2 linked regions of the Astyanax mexicanus genome follow. The main gene of each other region encodes a partner of the protein of the gene in region 2 in a complex. Links are inferred from orthologs where the notes say so. Each region holds a gene or a part of one and is shown on either strand. Other genes may lie near its edges. The genes, in order: pigs and gpaa1.

Evidence for each region.
Region 1: gpaa1 (region 2) and pigs share a complex: the UniProt entries of both Homo sapiens proteins name them as parts of the GPI-anchor transamidase complex. The link is inferred for Astyanax mexicanus from reciprocal best matches to the Homo sapiens genes GPAA1 and PIGS.

Annotation. Positions count from the first base shown.
Region 1 is NC_064424.1:13,017,252-13,025,004, forward strand, and holds the start of pigs (GPI transamidase component PIG-S), read right to left. Parts: upstream 3,130-7,753; 5' UTR 3,078-3,129; coding exon 3,059-3,077; intron 2,707-3,058; coding exon 2,567-2,706; intron 1,333-2,566; coding exon 1,221-1,332; intron 1,130-1,220; coding exon 1,040-1,129; intron 921-1,039; coding exon 829-920; intron 720-828; coding exon 482-719; intron 1-481. Other genes in the region: aldocb (fructose-bisphosphate aldolase C-B), read right to left, coding at 6,260-6,352, 6,917-7,116, 7,674-7,753. UniProt on the Homo sapiens protein: Component of the glycosylphosphatidylinositol-anchor (GPI-anchor) transamidase (GPI-T) complex that catalyzes the formation of the linkage between a proprotein and a GPI-anchor and participates in GPI anchored protein biosynthesis.
Region 2 is NC_064415.1:9,847,917-9,855,688, forward strand, and holds the start of gpaa1 (glycosylphosphatidylinositol anchor attachment 1 protein), read left to right. Parts: upstream 1-4,681; 5' UTR 4,682-4,773; intron 4,774-6,573; exon of another isoform or gene 6,574-6,576; 5' UTR 6,577-6,585; coding exon 6,586-6,659; intron 6,660-6,890; coding exon 6,891-7,070; intron 7,071-7,772. Other genes in the region: lymphocyte antigen 75, read left to right, coding at 54-80, 241-377, 2,181-2,315, 3,519-3,627, 3,720-3,787. UniProt on the Homo sapiens protein: Component of the glycosylphosphatidylinositol-anchor (GPI-anchor) transamidase (GPI-T) complex that catalyzes the formation of the linkage between a proprotein and a GPI-anchor and participates in GPI anchored protein biosynthesis. Binds GPI-anchor.

The sequences.
Region 1 (7,753 bases), on a different chromosome or scaffold from region 2:
TTTGATTTTACCAAATTGAAAACCTCTGGAATGTAATCAAGAGAAAGATGTATTATCACAAGCCATCAAACCAAGCAGAACTGCTTGTATTTTTGCACCAGGAGTGGCATAAAGTTATACAAAAGCAGTGTGTAAGACTGGTGGAGGAGAACATGCCAAGATGCATGAAAACTGTGATTAAAAAACAGAGTTATTACACCAAATGTTGATTTCTGAAATCTTAAAACTTTATGAATATGAGCTTGTTTTCTTTGCATTATTTCAGGTTTGAAATATGAGATTATTTCAGCCGATTCTCATTTTCTGCAAATAAATGCTCTAAATGACAATATTTTTATTTGGAATTTGGGAGAAATGTTGTCCGTAGTTTATAAAATAAAACCACAATGTTCATTTTACTCAAATATATACCTATAAATAGCTGAATCAGAGAAACTGATTCAGAACTGATTCCAGAGCTGTATATGGACAGATATCACACCTGGACTGGACTTTATGGCCCTCATGCTGTCAGCCAGTCTCTCCTTGCTGACTTGGCCGATGCGGATGCGATCACTCAGGGCAGCCAGAATGTCCGGGTGGCTGAAGGACATGGTATCGGCCACTTGCTTGACCTGAGGCTCCAGAGAAGACAGCACCTCCTTTAGACCAGCAGCCCCCTCAAATGGAGCAGCACGCAGCAGAGCAGTGCGCCGCTTCCCAACATACACCTTCATATCCTGAGAGACAGCAGAGAGAAACCTGTTACACAATAATTTAAAGAACAAAGGTTCCCTCATTTCTTAAATCCCACCTTAACAATTGGAATAGTGTATGTGCATGTCTTACCGCTGGCAGCAGGGTGGAGCTTTCAGGGATGATATACACCACCACAGACCCACAGGCACTCTCACTAAGCATATGCAGGGACAGATCTGCCTCTGTAGAAAGGAAATTCAAGCAAAGCATGAAGGCAGGTATTTCTATCATCATGCTTAATCATTACTAATCACATGACAAGATAAAACAGTGTATACAATTCAATGTAATATTTTTCAACCTTCAGCACTGGGTTGGTTCAATGCATCTTCTTCCATGATAGTAGCGGTGCGGTACTTGGTTTCATATCTGTACCGCAGCATGGTCTTTCCTGAAGTAGAGAAGATAAGAGGGGTGATCATAACATGCTCATTTTTGCTGACATTTCTTGTAGAAATGTAGAAACTTCGTAATCATCTTACCATCTACTTGATTCTCCTGCTCTCTGGTCTGACTGAGCGGAACCTTTGACTGCAGTTCAGGGCTCAGCGTTCCTCGAGAGAAGACCACCTCTATCTCAACACTTAACTGGAGCTATATACACAGAAAGATTTTGCAGAAAGTATTGCAATAAACCATTTTAAGACATTGACAGAATAATACAAAAATAGCTTAATTATAAGAGTCCATGGAATTTAATCTTAATATAACTGGTTTAAACAAAGTTTAATCTAAATAATCAGTAACCAGTATGGAGGTTCGTAGGAAATAGACATAATGTAATCTATGTGTCAAAATGTCTAATTTTCCAACATTTTTTCTAAAAACCACAAGTATTATTAGGGAGTTTAACATCTTTTTCCTTTGCTACAGCAACATCTTCTACTCTTCTGAAAAGTTTTTTTTTGTGAGCAATAAAAAGGTTTAAATCCTTCATATACAATAAATTCACTGTATTACTGCCCAATGTCTAAGGGCTCTAATCAATATTTGGTGACAGATGGCTTGTGGATGCTTTTCTAAAGAGGTTATATAAGCTCAAAGAAAGTCAAGCTAAAGACCATTTTTTGCTTGGTAGCTGGTTTGAGATGGTCTGAGATGGTCTAAGCTGGTCCTTGATGGTCAATGTGGTTGAAAAGCTGGTCATCCAGACAAAAACCTACCCATACATGCTGGGAGGCTATCTGGTAACCAGATGCTAATCAGCATATTGTGTTGATTTTAATTCTGGTCATGATCAGTCTTGCTGGCCAACTAGCTTGGTCAAGTTTGGGTAACTATATTGGTTATCTAACCAGCTAGCTTGATAGCATGTACAGGGCATACAGAGGATTGAAATTACATTACTCTCCATCCCAAAGTTACAAGTACAATAGTGTTGGCGGGGGGGGGGGCATGCATGAACATTAAAAATGAGGTGTAAAAGCTTAAGGCTGGTAAGGTGAATGAGTGCATACAGTTCTTTAAATGTCGCAGTTGTAAGGGGAACTAAAGTGGGTATGACAGTGCAAGTGGAAGCAGTAGTGCAGGTATGGGGTGTGAGTGCATGTCAGTTCTTGAAAAAAAAATCAATTTCTGTGTTGATTTCAGTACTAAGTTGCAGTACTGTGTTAATGGAGGGGGGGGGGTGTCAGAACGGAGATTTGGTTATATTGATTATCTAGCTAGCTTGGTCTGGTTGATCAAGGCTTATATACCAGCGAAACAATTAAATTAAAATAAAATCAATGAGCTCGTCCAGTAGCATGATGAGCTGGCTATTTTGTTTTATGGATACTCTGAGCCCATATTGCAGGTGTATCTAATAGTATAATGACTCAGAATGTACCTGTAAGGAGTCGAGCTCGCTGATCTGTGAGATGGGCAGCCAGGCTCGATAGGTCTCGGTGGTCTTCCACCACAGAGGGATCCCCAGCAAGATGACCACAGCTGCGATGGCCAGGGCAGCATATTTGCCTCGCTGCTTTTCTGTATTTTAGAGTATAAAATGCGCAATTGTGAACACATGAGGTGCGCATAATAACGGGAAACAGCAGAAACACAGCGTAATAATACATACACTATATAAACAAAGCTACCAGAACCCCCACACTGATTTCCCTTCAGCTTCAGCAGCAGCAGCAGCAGCAGACCCAGCCCTACGGGAGCTTCTGTAACTAGTGTTTAGCTAATTATTACAGCTTCAGTTTACTAAAGACACGCACACACAAACATTCTCATACACTAAACACACCCAGTACAAACTCAATACCCCGCGTTATAAACCTCAATAAAGCCTCTAATGCAGAAAAAAATGCAGTAATATTAATAAATGACTCGCCTGCCTCGATCGATGCCATGACTACAGGAAACTACTACCGGGGCCTGACAAAGCGCTCTGGCCAATCAGAGCAGAGGAGAGGCGGAGTTATGAGTCTACGGGTACCCGGGAAGGACAAATAACGTAAAAAACAACAACAACTATTGTAGCCGATAGATTTTCAACAGTGCATTAAACAAGCACAGGCTACACATCATATACCAGCCAGCCAGAGTTGTGGTTATTTTACGCTTTTAAAGGGAAGGTTTTAGACTGAGTTTGAGCTGGATTTTTTTTTTGGACCTGGCAACCCTGTAGCCACCACAACCTAGCACATTTTAAAGCAGCCGGTGTTTTGCCTCAATGAATCGTTCTCACCAGTGACACCTGCTGTTCAAAGAGTTATATGACAGATTAAATGAATCCTGAGCAAGAGTATCCTTAAATATCTGTGTATAAAATAAATTATTTTGCCACTCTGTCTCAATTAATATAATAATGTATTTTTAATGGAAATAGCTGAGTGTTGTTGTACACTGACACTGAACACAATAGTGCTTATGGAACTGGGGGAGTTAAGCACAATAAACTGCATCAGAGTAGTATGTGCAAAAGGACAAATATAACATTAATTCTTATAAAAAAAGAAGCTTTATAACTGTGTTGGGGTGGAGGTGATAATTTTTCTTCAATAAAATCTACTCAGCATTAGAGAATACATTTTCACATGGCACTGAGGTGCCCGAAGTGCACAAACCAGCTCAGTGCTAGCCTAGCTAAAGAAAATGTAAATATTTACGAATGTTTTGTTTGCTCCAGTAAATAAATGGATCTTATGTCAACTAAAAAAAACACGAGGTGCTACAAGGCTCGAGCCCTCTTTATGCTGTAGCGACACTCAAAATGAAACGATCACGTGTCCCACAGAATCCGAGGCCTTGTTTTTTAATCAGTCACGTGATTTTTATAATAACGATACAAACCTCGAACCTGCAGGCTTCGACGCTTCACTTCAAATGACCATCGCTATCTTGCAGTGCTAGTTTAGCTGTATATAACGAAGCAACATTTAGAACTGAACGCCTTTAAACCGTAATGATCGATATTAGAACAAAGAAGTTCACATAGGAATACCTGATATTTAGCAGTTTAATTTCAATTATACTCCCCCTTTGATCTCAGAAGTCTGAATGACTTCTTTATTCTAACAGCAAGTCTTGGGCTCCTAAAATGTATTTTACTCTGGACTCAACATGGGAGGTTTTACCACCAGAGTAGGATTTTCGGTTATTGGTGGGAGTAGGATTTAGTTTTGGCATTGTGTCATTTTTACAGGATTTACTCTTTACTGTACTTCAGCTTTATATTTTTCTGCACACTGTGCTTAAAAAAAACTCTCCATATACCAGTTATTGTGTCTACTGCTTAAAATGTGCCGTTGGAAGGTTTGTGTCGGATGCTTAAAATGTGTTGAATGGTGCTCTCTAGATGCTCCTAGATTGTGTTTTGATGGTGCACCAGTGTCTGCTAGTTTAGGACGTGCCAGAGTATGCGACAGCCATTTACCACGTGCTGGATGGTGTGCCAGGCTGGTTTCGGAGGTGCAGGCTGCTGTAGATTGTGTCAAATTAAGTGCCAACGGTTTTGTAGCATGTGTCAGACAGCGTGCTGGCTGGTTTAGAGTTGTGGTGATGGCTGCTTAATATGTGCCAGAGGATGTGGTTTAGAATGTGCTTGTTAGTGTGCGCACTACTTCATGACATGCCGGTTACCGTGCCAACTCAAGAGGTGAAGAAAATAAGTCTTGGCTTTTAATTAAAGTGTAGAATTTTTCTTATAATTGAAGCCATTTAACAAAAAGACGTTTTCACATTGTACATGGAAGCTGCTGTGCTTAAATAACGTTAAAGACAGTTTAGACAGCATAAACTAAAGGATTATCCACTTTTTGTATATCCACTGTGGTAGGAAGCTGGGCCTGATAAGATAATGTAAGCACATGCTCTGTGTTTTCTCAAACTCCAACAGCAGATAAAGTGTATATTTCAAAAATGAACAGACATGTCTTGAATTTTAAATTATTTTATTTTATAGTTTTTGTTTCTAATCTTACACACCAAGTGCTTGAGAGGACAACAACACAATGACATCACAGTTTATCCAAACCAGCAGTGACTATGCTCTTTCTCCCTCTGCCAAACAAAACTGCAGAAGTTTGGTCCAAGCGGCAAAGTTAAGCCATGGAATTATGCTTTACATTACGTTATTTACGTTACATGGTAATCTTTATAGTACTTCAGTGTACCAACGTGTCACCACACTGGGGGGAGAGAGAGCATAGCACTCATGCGGAATACACAGAATAATAGAACACATTTAATCATATAATTTTCCATATCTTTCAACCCATTTAAGTTAGTATTCTGTATTTAAAGCAAACAGACGCACACAACCCAAAAGACTCATCACTACAATAGATGAGAATAGAACACTAAATAAATGCTGCTCAGTGTCCGGTGTTAGTTGATCATTGTGAGGCTGTGCGTTGCGTAAGTGTACTGACCTACCCGCCACTCTCTCCATTGGTCCACTCTCTCCACTGATTCACCCCCTCATTGTAGAATAAGACTGATTGTTTTGTTCTTGGTTAGCATTTTCACTGTATTCTGATCAGTGCTAATGCAGACGCATTATGTCTCATAACATGAATGGATGAGACCACACAACACATCAAACTGGAGAGGCTGTAGCTGCACTTTATGGGAATGTGGGAGCTTAACTGACTCAGTGGTAAAAACTACACAAGCTGGGGAAAGGGTGTCAGAACTGAACACTTGTACAAAAAAAGTAAAGAATGTTTTCCAAAAATATAACTTGAACTAGTTGTTAATATCTAGCCGCAGTGGCAATACCATTTACTTATTAAATACAGCACGATGACCACTTTTGGTACCAGTGTTTGTATAACATTAGATTTTTCAGCATCTCCCATAACATCTGTGAGCCTTTTAAGCCCCCCTTAATCTCTTCTTTGAATCTTCTCCTTTCCATTTTCGACACATTTTAAATAGACAGAACATTAGTAGTAGAACATTGCAATGACGATCCTAAAAAGTACAGACAACAGCGCAGGCCTGTGACTGGTTGGTGACATGGAGGGTAGCAGCGGCAAAAGATACTATTGGTCGGCGGCAGCTGGAGTAGGCGGGTGATGGGAATGCTTTAATAGGCGTGGTTGGCCACATACAGGGACTGTCCTGCAGCTCCAGCGGTTCCACTGGACACATACTTGCCCCGAGAAGCCAGGCCATTAGCCTGTGGAAGAGAGAAAAAAAAAATATATATATATATATTTTTGTTACAAATATTATTGTTAGTAAGATGGAGAAAATCACAACAGAAGAGCACAAGGCTACAAGTAATTATACATTTCATTGGCACGGTCTCCCTTCATCAGCTTCCAAGTAATTATGTTAATTAGATATTGATTAGCTTGATTGATTTAGGGTTACAGAGAAAAAAAAAACAAAAAAAAAAAAACATATGCACATCCAGTCTCTTGCTGCATTCTCAAAATCATTCTCAATTATAACAAAATAATCTAAAGAGAACACAGACAGATTTGAGATTATGCTGCACTGGGCTCTACATAAATAAATAAAACCAAATTTTTGTTAATTTAGTTGTGCCAAAATGTACTTGGACATTTTTATTAAAAAATTAATAAATTGACACAGGCTTTTAGTTATGAGAGATTAAATCTTTGCTTGACAGTAATGATTTGGTTAATGAAACTGCTGTAAGATTTATACCTCTAATATCAATATGCCTCTGTGCAGTAATGGGTTTTGAATATCATGTGATATTTGAATAACTGACCTCAGCACGCTTGATAAACTCCTCAGTAGCGGCCTTCTCGTTGTCCCTGGCTCCACGCCAAGCATTGAGAGCAGAAGCCTGCAGGGCGCGGCCATAGGAGAAGGTGAGGGCCCAGGGCCTGGACAGAGGGCAGTTGTTGATTGCGTTCAGGTTGATGGATGCCTCCTCTTCACTCTGTCCTCCGGACAAGAAGGTCACTCCTAAATTAAAAAAAGAAAAATCCATTCAGCTACAGCCGCTTTAGCCCTGCTTTAGCCAAAGCATCGACAGAAATGTCAATAATAGCAACAGAGCTTCCCTGTCACTTGCTGCAGTAGGGCTGTGCAATATAGACAAAAATGTGATGTGTGAAAAAGCTGTTGGTTATCAGTTTCATCTGCACACATTTTTCACAGGCTAAGGGATAGCTTGGTGTGTTCATTGTGGACCTCTACCTCGAATCTTGTTTCCACACATGAGCATGAGTAAAGAGCTCCCTCTGTTTTTGCATGTTGATAATATAGTTTGAGTTTGCTGTTTATCAGAACAATATATCAGCCCTTACAATGTATTCATCATGGAATATCATTTTGTGACCTACTGCAGTGCGAGCCATTGTGAAAGCACCTTAGAAGTCTATTGCCAACTTATGTGATTGCGTAGACAGGAACCACATCAGCAGTTCCAGGTAAAATACAGCTCAACTCTTATATAAACACACACAAGTTAGTTTTAACTACCTGAAAACACTTTGGTCATAAACAGTGTGATCCATTACCTGGGACTGCTGGAGGGACGGTACGACGAAGAGCAGTGACTGTAGCCATGGCAATTTCCTCATTGGAGTATTTGGTGGGG
Region 2 (7,772 bases):
ATAACTGTATTAACATGATTTCTGTCTGTCTGTTTATCTGTCTGTTTTTCTAGAAGCTGATCTACATGCTTTAGTTCAAGGTAAAAAGATACTTGGTTTGGTTCCACAAATTAAAGACAATTTAATTTGCTTTCACTTTGCTTTACATTTTTTTAAAAGCTGAAATAACAGTGGAATTGCACTAATCCAACACCAGCCAACTCAAGATTTTTTAATCCTGCATGTTTTTTTCCTGAACAGAACAAATCAAAAGCCCAGTAAATAGAATGAATTCTGAGAAGGACACATGTGAGCCCAGCTGTCCGTATGGCTGGGTGAAATTCAACGGACGCTGCTTCAGCTACTTTGGCCAAGCTGTGGACTGGGTCACCGCTGAGGTAATCTCTCTGATTTCTGTTTAGTTAAAAATTATTAAAGAGAGATTTAGAAATGGTATCACAGGGGCGCCGAGTGGTCCCGCGGTCTAATGCGCAGCCACTATGAGCGGGAGGTCGCAGGTTCGAACCCCCGCTCATGCAGCTTTGCCATCAGCTGCCGGTGCTTAGAGGGAGCACAATTGGCTCTGCTCCCTCTGGGGTGGGTAGATGGCGCTCTTTCCCCATCACACTTAAGGTGGCACTGGGCGGCACGAGGCGTCTGTGAGCGGATGAATCGGAACCGAGCCACTGTGCTTTCCTCCGAGCGCGCTAGCTGCTCAGGCAATGATTCATCCGCAGCAGCTCAAAAAAAGGGGTGATTGACTTCACACGTGTCGGAGGAGGCGTGTGCTCGTCCGCATCCTTCAAGGGTCACGGGCGTCACCGGTGATGGGGACGCACAAAGGGGTGGGACAATTGGGAGAAAAATGGGGAAAAATCTGAAAAAAAAAAGAAATGGTATCACAGTCTTACATATGTAGTGTCATGCTTACAGTATATTTAAGCAATAATACACTTGAGATTTGTGCTATAACATGTAATATTTGCACTGCTGTGCTGCGGACGTAGATCAGAAGAGCAGTGCCAATATTACACATTATAGCACAAACCTCAAGTGTATTATTGCGATTATACCACAGTTCCATTATCGCTGTTTATTAAAACACTGCGCAAGTAAAAATAAAATAAAAAAAAATAAAAATTCGTTGTTGCTCTGTTTGTAGCTGCGCTGTTTGGCTTGTAAGCACTGCCTCGTTGCTTGGTTACCTGTAAATGGCAGAGTAATACATGGGGAGCTTCAGTTACAGTGCATTACTGGCTGATAATGGCACTCATAGAACGCCCCTCAGCCAATCACATTGCAGGGTCAGAACTAACTGTGGTATAATATTTTATTAACATTATGTGCATTTACAGCATCTAACAAAAGTGAGTTCCCCGCTCACAGTCCTGCTCTGCAAATATTTTATTATATATTTTCATGGGGAAACACTATAAAAATAAAACTAGTATATAACTTATGCTAGTTTTATCTTTAGTTAGTGTACAGCTTGTATAGCCATATAGATTGGATGTCCTCTGTCCTCTGTATTTGGTGTTTCAAGTGTAATTTTTTCTGACTTGCCACTGGATATTCAACATCGCACCTCATGGCAAAAAAAAAAAAAAAAAAAAAAGAGAATGTAAGAAATTTAATGTTTGCTCTTCACAAAAATGGCCTAAACTGTAAGAAGATTTCAACTAAGTAAATTAAGCAACAGTTTGGTGGCCAAAGGCAGCCATCATTGCTGCAGAGGTTGAAGAAGTGGGAGGTCAGCCTGCATTGCTCTGCCCATACACCACACGCTGCATCAAATCAGAAGCAAGCTTCTTCTGAAGCTGATGCACAAGAAAGTCTGCAAACAGTTTGCTGAATACAAGCAGTTCAAGAGCATAGATTACTAGAATCATGTTCTGGAGTTTCTTAGAAGATCCTATTAAAGTGATTGAGCTGGTGTGTTGACTTTACTTACAAAATAAGTGTTTTTATGTAGAACATTTAAACATTTTTTAATTCTATTTTTTTATTCCCTTACTATCAAAAGTTACTTTACTTTTTTAAATGATGTAATTGAATGATTTTACTATTATAGATAAGAGAGCATAAACCTTTATTAATGCCAAAATGGAGACAATTCACCGTCCATTAAAAAATCTATTTTATCGTGAAAGGCCTGGCTTTGCCTGATCAGCAGTTCACGGATATTTTGTTTGGCTTTTTAGGCTTACTGTATAAATCTGGGGGGAAACCTGGCCTCGATACACAGTGAGAATGAGTATCAGGTGGTGAAGGCTCTGGTCCGTGCTTATGACCCCAGCGAGAAAGAAACATGGATTGGCCTCTCCAACTGTCAGAAGGTAAGATAATATGGATGCCGAACAAAAGTAACTACACAAAAGGCTTGTGAGGACCCTTGTAAAAGAAAAGTGCATTTAAGTATATTTTTTAAATGCATACTTAACATGCAGACCCTAGTGGGAAAAAAGTAGATTAAAGTTTACTAAGCATTATAATGCATTATTATGCATTATTATACTACAGCATAATACAGTAGTGTACTTGTGGCCACATTATTAATCGGTATATTTAAAGAGTGCTAAAATGGGACAACTTTTTTTGTACTTATTATACTTTAAATATATAAAAATAGTACAAAAGTCTTACTTAAATTGTGCTAAGTGTACCTAACTGTACTAAAACGGAACTATTTAAAATATACCTAAGTAACTTTTAAACCTCATCTTTTAAATATACTTACAGTAAAATTTTAATACATTTAATGATTATTACCACTGTATCACTATTATTATTATACACAAGGTGTATTAGAAATGTACTAAGAATTGATGTTAAATAAATTTAACATCAGGAGTGTTCAAATAGACTTCTTTTTCCTGTCTTTTGTAAGTAGCACACGTTGGGTATAACATTACATTTTAATTTACTGTACTACAATTTTTAGCGAGTAAAAAATTTACTTTAATTTTTTTACATGTAGTAATTTAATTTACTTGCTAAAATGTTACATGATACATTGTACTTTAAGTGAACTACTGTCACAGTTGTTTTTAAAACACTTCGCTAAAAATGCAAAAAAAAAATGCATTATTTGAGGTATGAAAGCTCTGTATACTTATATACATATATATATATATATATATATATATATATATACTTTATACTATATAGACTGCTGCTAAAATATATTGGGGTGCAAAATAACCTGACTAGGACAACCCTGGTGTTATATTATGTTTCCATGCTTGACTGTAAAATAGTTGCACACTGCAGACTCTAACTAAACTCTTTTATTTGCCTTCTAAAAATTAATATTGATAATAGTAAAAATAATTTTCATCAATGGAGTCTTGCAGCCATTTTAAACAAAGCCTAAACATCCCATACCCCATCTCTGAAAATATGCCTAAAATTCCTATTTAAAGGTTTTTAAAATGTTTTTAACTCCTCTTAAATTTCCACAGCAACTTATTAAGCCGTCACATTCATTTAGATTCTCTAATAAACTAAAATTATTTTTTTTTTATTTTAACAAATAACAGAAGAACAGCTGGATCTGGTCTGATGGGACAAAATTTACATACAGCAAATGGAACCCTGGTGAACCCAATCATATCAATGGGGAGTGCTGTGTAGCCATCAACTGGGGCTGTACGTTTATTCATTAAAACTTTATATTACTGCAATTAGCAAAAATCTGGAAAATCTTTTCAATGTTAATTTTTGTTTTTCTTTGTCTACAGCCACAAAGAACTGGAATGACTGTCAATGTCATATTGGGAATCCATTTGTCTGCGTGAGGAAGCTGTGAAGCCCTGTAATCCATGAACACACATCTGTTTTATATATTTTTAGATGTTTTTTTTTATCTTAACCTTTTATTCTGTTTATGTAATGCAAAATTTCTTAATCTCTGAAAACAATGTATTGTTCATTTTCTGTACACCTTTTGTAAAATATTAATAAAAACAAAACCTGATTCATTTTTGCAAAAAAGTAATGATTTACTTTGTTTCACTTTTGTTCTTGCAAGCATCACACAACAGGACACTTGCGGCAAAGGGAAAAAATTTATGTGAAATAATTTTTGGGGGAATATATTTATCTATTTTAATGAAGGAAAAGTGTAAAATACAACAAATCACTATATATGCATGCACATAGTATTTTTCTAAAATATGCAAAGCCAAGACCCAAACCTGAAATTAATAAAAATGTATTATCATGCAATTGGACAAAAGTGGAAACAATTTGTACCCTGGATTTATACAATTTTATAAAAGTATTAAGAAAAAAAAATAGAAGCTTTTTTTTTGCAGCAAATGAGAAATGTCTGAAATAACAAAAAAACATGCAGAGCTTTCATACCTCAAATAATGCAAAGAAAACATATTCATAAAGTTTTAGAAGTTCAGAAATCAATATTTGGGGAAAAAGCCCTAATTTTAAGTTTTCCTCCACCAGTCTTTCACACTGCTTTTGGATAAATGTACGTTAATCCTAGTGCAAAAATTCAATCAATTCAGTTTGGTTTGATGGCATGTGATAATTTATCTTCCTCGTTGATTATATTGCAGAGGTTTTCAATTTGGTAAAACGAAAGAAACGAATTATTTCTAAGTGGTCTAATTTTTTTCCAGAGATGTAATTAGGTAATAAAAGGGCTTTTATTTTGTATTTTTGTAGCGCGGCTCTGCTCCTCCGGTTTGCTTCCCATGATACCGGGTGAAGATGGCCGCTCCCTGCCCTGGTTTCTCTCGTTTCTGATCGTAATTTATCGCTGTTTTCCGCGCTGAGGTGAGAATCTCCTATAATATTAATACTGTTGATGTGTTAATCTGACTCTGATGATTAATAATCTGAGATTAAAGCTGCAGGGCCGCCGCAGGTTTAGTCCTAAAGCCGGTGTAAGCGGCGAGTACGGGCTGGACTCGAAGCCCTGTCTGTATTTGCGCTTTATTTTAATTTATTTACCCTCATTTAGCCTCGCGGTTCTGGGGAACTGTTGATTAGATGCGTGGAGAAAGGCCTGTAGTGGTAATTTAACCTTAGATAAGAAAACCGGGCCACGTAATTATAATACTGTGGCTTGGGTTTCTCGAATTTTCCGAACCACCTAAAATACTGCAGCACTTACAGTGCGGCTATGAGAGCGGCGTGTTCGGGCTGCCCATTTTAACCGCTGTCCTTCTTATGGTGGAACGGACAGTTTCAATAGGAAGCCAAACACCATTCATTTGCAGAGCCTAAGAGCCGACCAGCAGGCTCTAGACTCAGCAGTTCCGCAGGCTCTAGACTCAGCAGTTCCGCCGGTTCTAGACTCAGCATTTCAGCAGGCTCTAGACTCAGCATTTCAGCAGGCTCTAGACTCGGCATTTCAGCAGGTTCTAGACTCAGCAGGTTCAAAACAGTTCATCAAAATGTTATTAGGGGTGCAGGATTTTTCCATTTAATTTATTTTTTGTGCAAGAAAATATGTTGCTATTTTACATTTCAGTAAATTAAATCATTTGTATTCTTTGAAAATGTTTATTTAATTGTATCAGTAATATAATATCAGTTCTTTTTTATTATTATAAATACTATAGAAACAATTAAATACATGCAATATTGCAGATAGATAGTTAATTACATTAAACCATGGCGTGGCAGACATCATTTATTTGTAGAGCCTAAGAGCTGACCAGCAGGTTCTAGGCTTAGCAGTTCAGTAGGTTCTAGGCTCAGTAGTTCAAGTTCTAGACTCAGCAGTTTTAGACTGAGTCCCTGGACCCAGCCATCAGTTCCTAAACCCAGCTGTCAGTTCCTAAACCCAGTGGTTCCAGACCAGCAGTCATTTCGTAGACCGAGCAGTTAGTTCCTAGACCCAGCAGTTCCAGATTAGCAGTCAGTTCCTAGACCCATCTAGCAAAGCAAATGAAACATCTTGCTTAACTAGTCTAGCAGGTTCTATTAACATTGAGTAAGAGGAAAAATTAAACTTGCTAGCTTCTCTAAAACTACAGCATTTTAGGCATTGTTGCACTAACAGATCTAAGCTTGTGGAGGTTAATGAAGGCGAGGCCAGTGAAGACCATGTGGCTCTTGCTGATAGCCACCTCCTACAGAAAAGCATCAGCAGGGAGAAACAGGCCAGACTACAGAGAAAGTCCTGTCCTGTACTGCACCTGCTCACACTCACTACTCGTCTAAATGCCATTGTCACATGCAAATGATTGTATTTAGGTTCCAGTTACTTTAATTGCCACAGGTGTATAAAACCAAGCACCTAGTCATGAAAATATGGCTCGCTCTGAGGAGCTCAGTGAACTCCAGCATGGTACTATGATAGGATGTTGCCTGGTCTGCTGGTAGGCTGAAGTTTTGCTCAAAATGGGGTTTTGTGTTTAAGCAGCTTCATCCAAGCTTTAAATCCCAAACCTAATGCAGGCAGGCAGGTATTTCTTTTAGCAATATAATGTATTTATATAAAGACTTCACTATTTTTATCACTCTGCTTAATCTTCTCACTTCTCCAGAAATTGACTCGGTCTATGGCTTTCTAAAATTGTATTGTATTTTCCAAATATAAATATTTTTTTTCCTTTCCCATTTTAGCAGTTGAACACCATGGGTTTGTTATCTGACCCCAATCGACGGAAGGCCCTGACCACTCTCCTCACCCGCCTTAACACACCTATATGGTATGTCTCCAGTGTTCATTCGTAGTTAGTCAATATCCTTAGTGTTGTGTATTTGCAGTTTGCTGTTTTTCATAGATAGATATCTGCCGAGTTGTTTATATAGTGTGTTTAAATCAGTTCAGGTGGAAAATCAGGTAGAAAGCTTTGTTTGCTCTGCTTTGATTTCTGTAAATGTTCCTCTGTGTCTTCTAACTGCTCTGATCTTCTGTTTTTCCTCGGTTCACTTCTTAGCGTGGTGTGCTATTTGGCGGGCATTGCCTGGTTCATGGGCCTGGCGTTTGAACCCTTTACTCTACGAACATACATGTCTGAGAATGCCATGGGTTCTACCATGGTGGAGGAACGGTTTCCAGCAGGAGAGAGAGCCTTGGCCACTGGGAGGGAATTCGCAGGCCACAAAAGAAAGGCTGGGTAAGTGAGACCTAATTTGTCCTGAACAAGGCGTGTTCTATTTCTGGTCCGGTTCACTTTGTGTTGAGAGTTTTTGCTTGTCTGCCTTCACACACATTTTGCACCTATTACAGCTTTGACTTTTCTGGGAAGGATTTCCACAAGGTTTATGAGTGTTTTTATGGGGTTTGTTATTATTATTCCAGAAGCACATTTTTGGGTGGTAAGACACTGATGCTGGATAAGAAGACCTGGCTCAAAGATGTTGCTCTAATTTATCCAAAAAGTGTTTTATCAGGTTAATGTGCAGGCCAGTGAAGTTCTTCCACACCAAACTTCCTCATCCATATCTTTATGGACCTTGCTTTGTGCACTGGTGCTATTCTGAAGCACTAAGAGTTCCTTTCATTGGAACTAAGGGGTCGAGCCCAACTCCTGAAGTATAACCCCATGCCATCATTATCCCCCCTCTACCAAACTTTACAATTGACACAATGCAGTCAGACAAGTACAGTTTTCTCCTGGCAACCACCAAACCCAGACCTGTCAATTGGATTGCCAGATGCGTGATTAGTCACTCCAGAGAACATGTCTCCACTGCTCTAGAGTCCAGTTGGGGGTTTGCTTTACACCACTGCATCTAGCGCTTTGCGTGGTGCTTGGTGATGTAAGGCCTGGATGGAGCTGCTCGGCCGTATTCTCTACTGTTATTGATCTAATCTG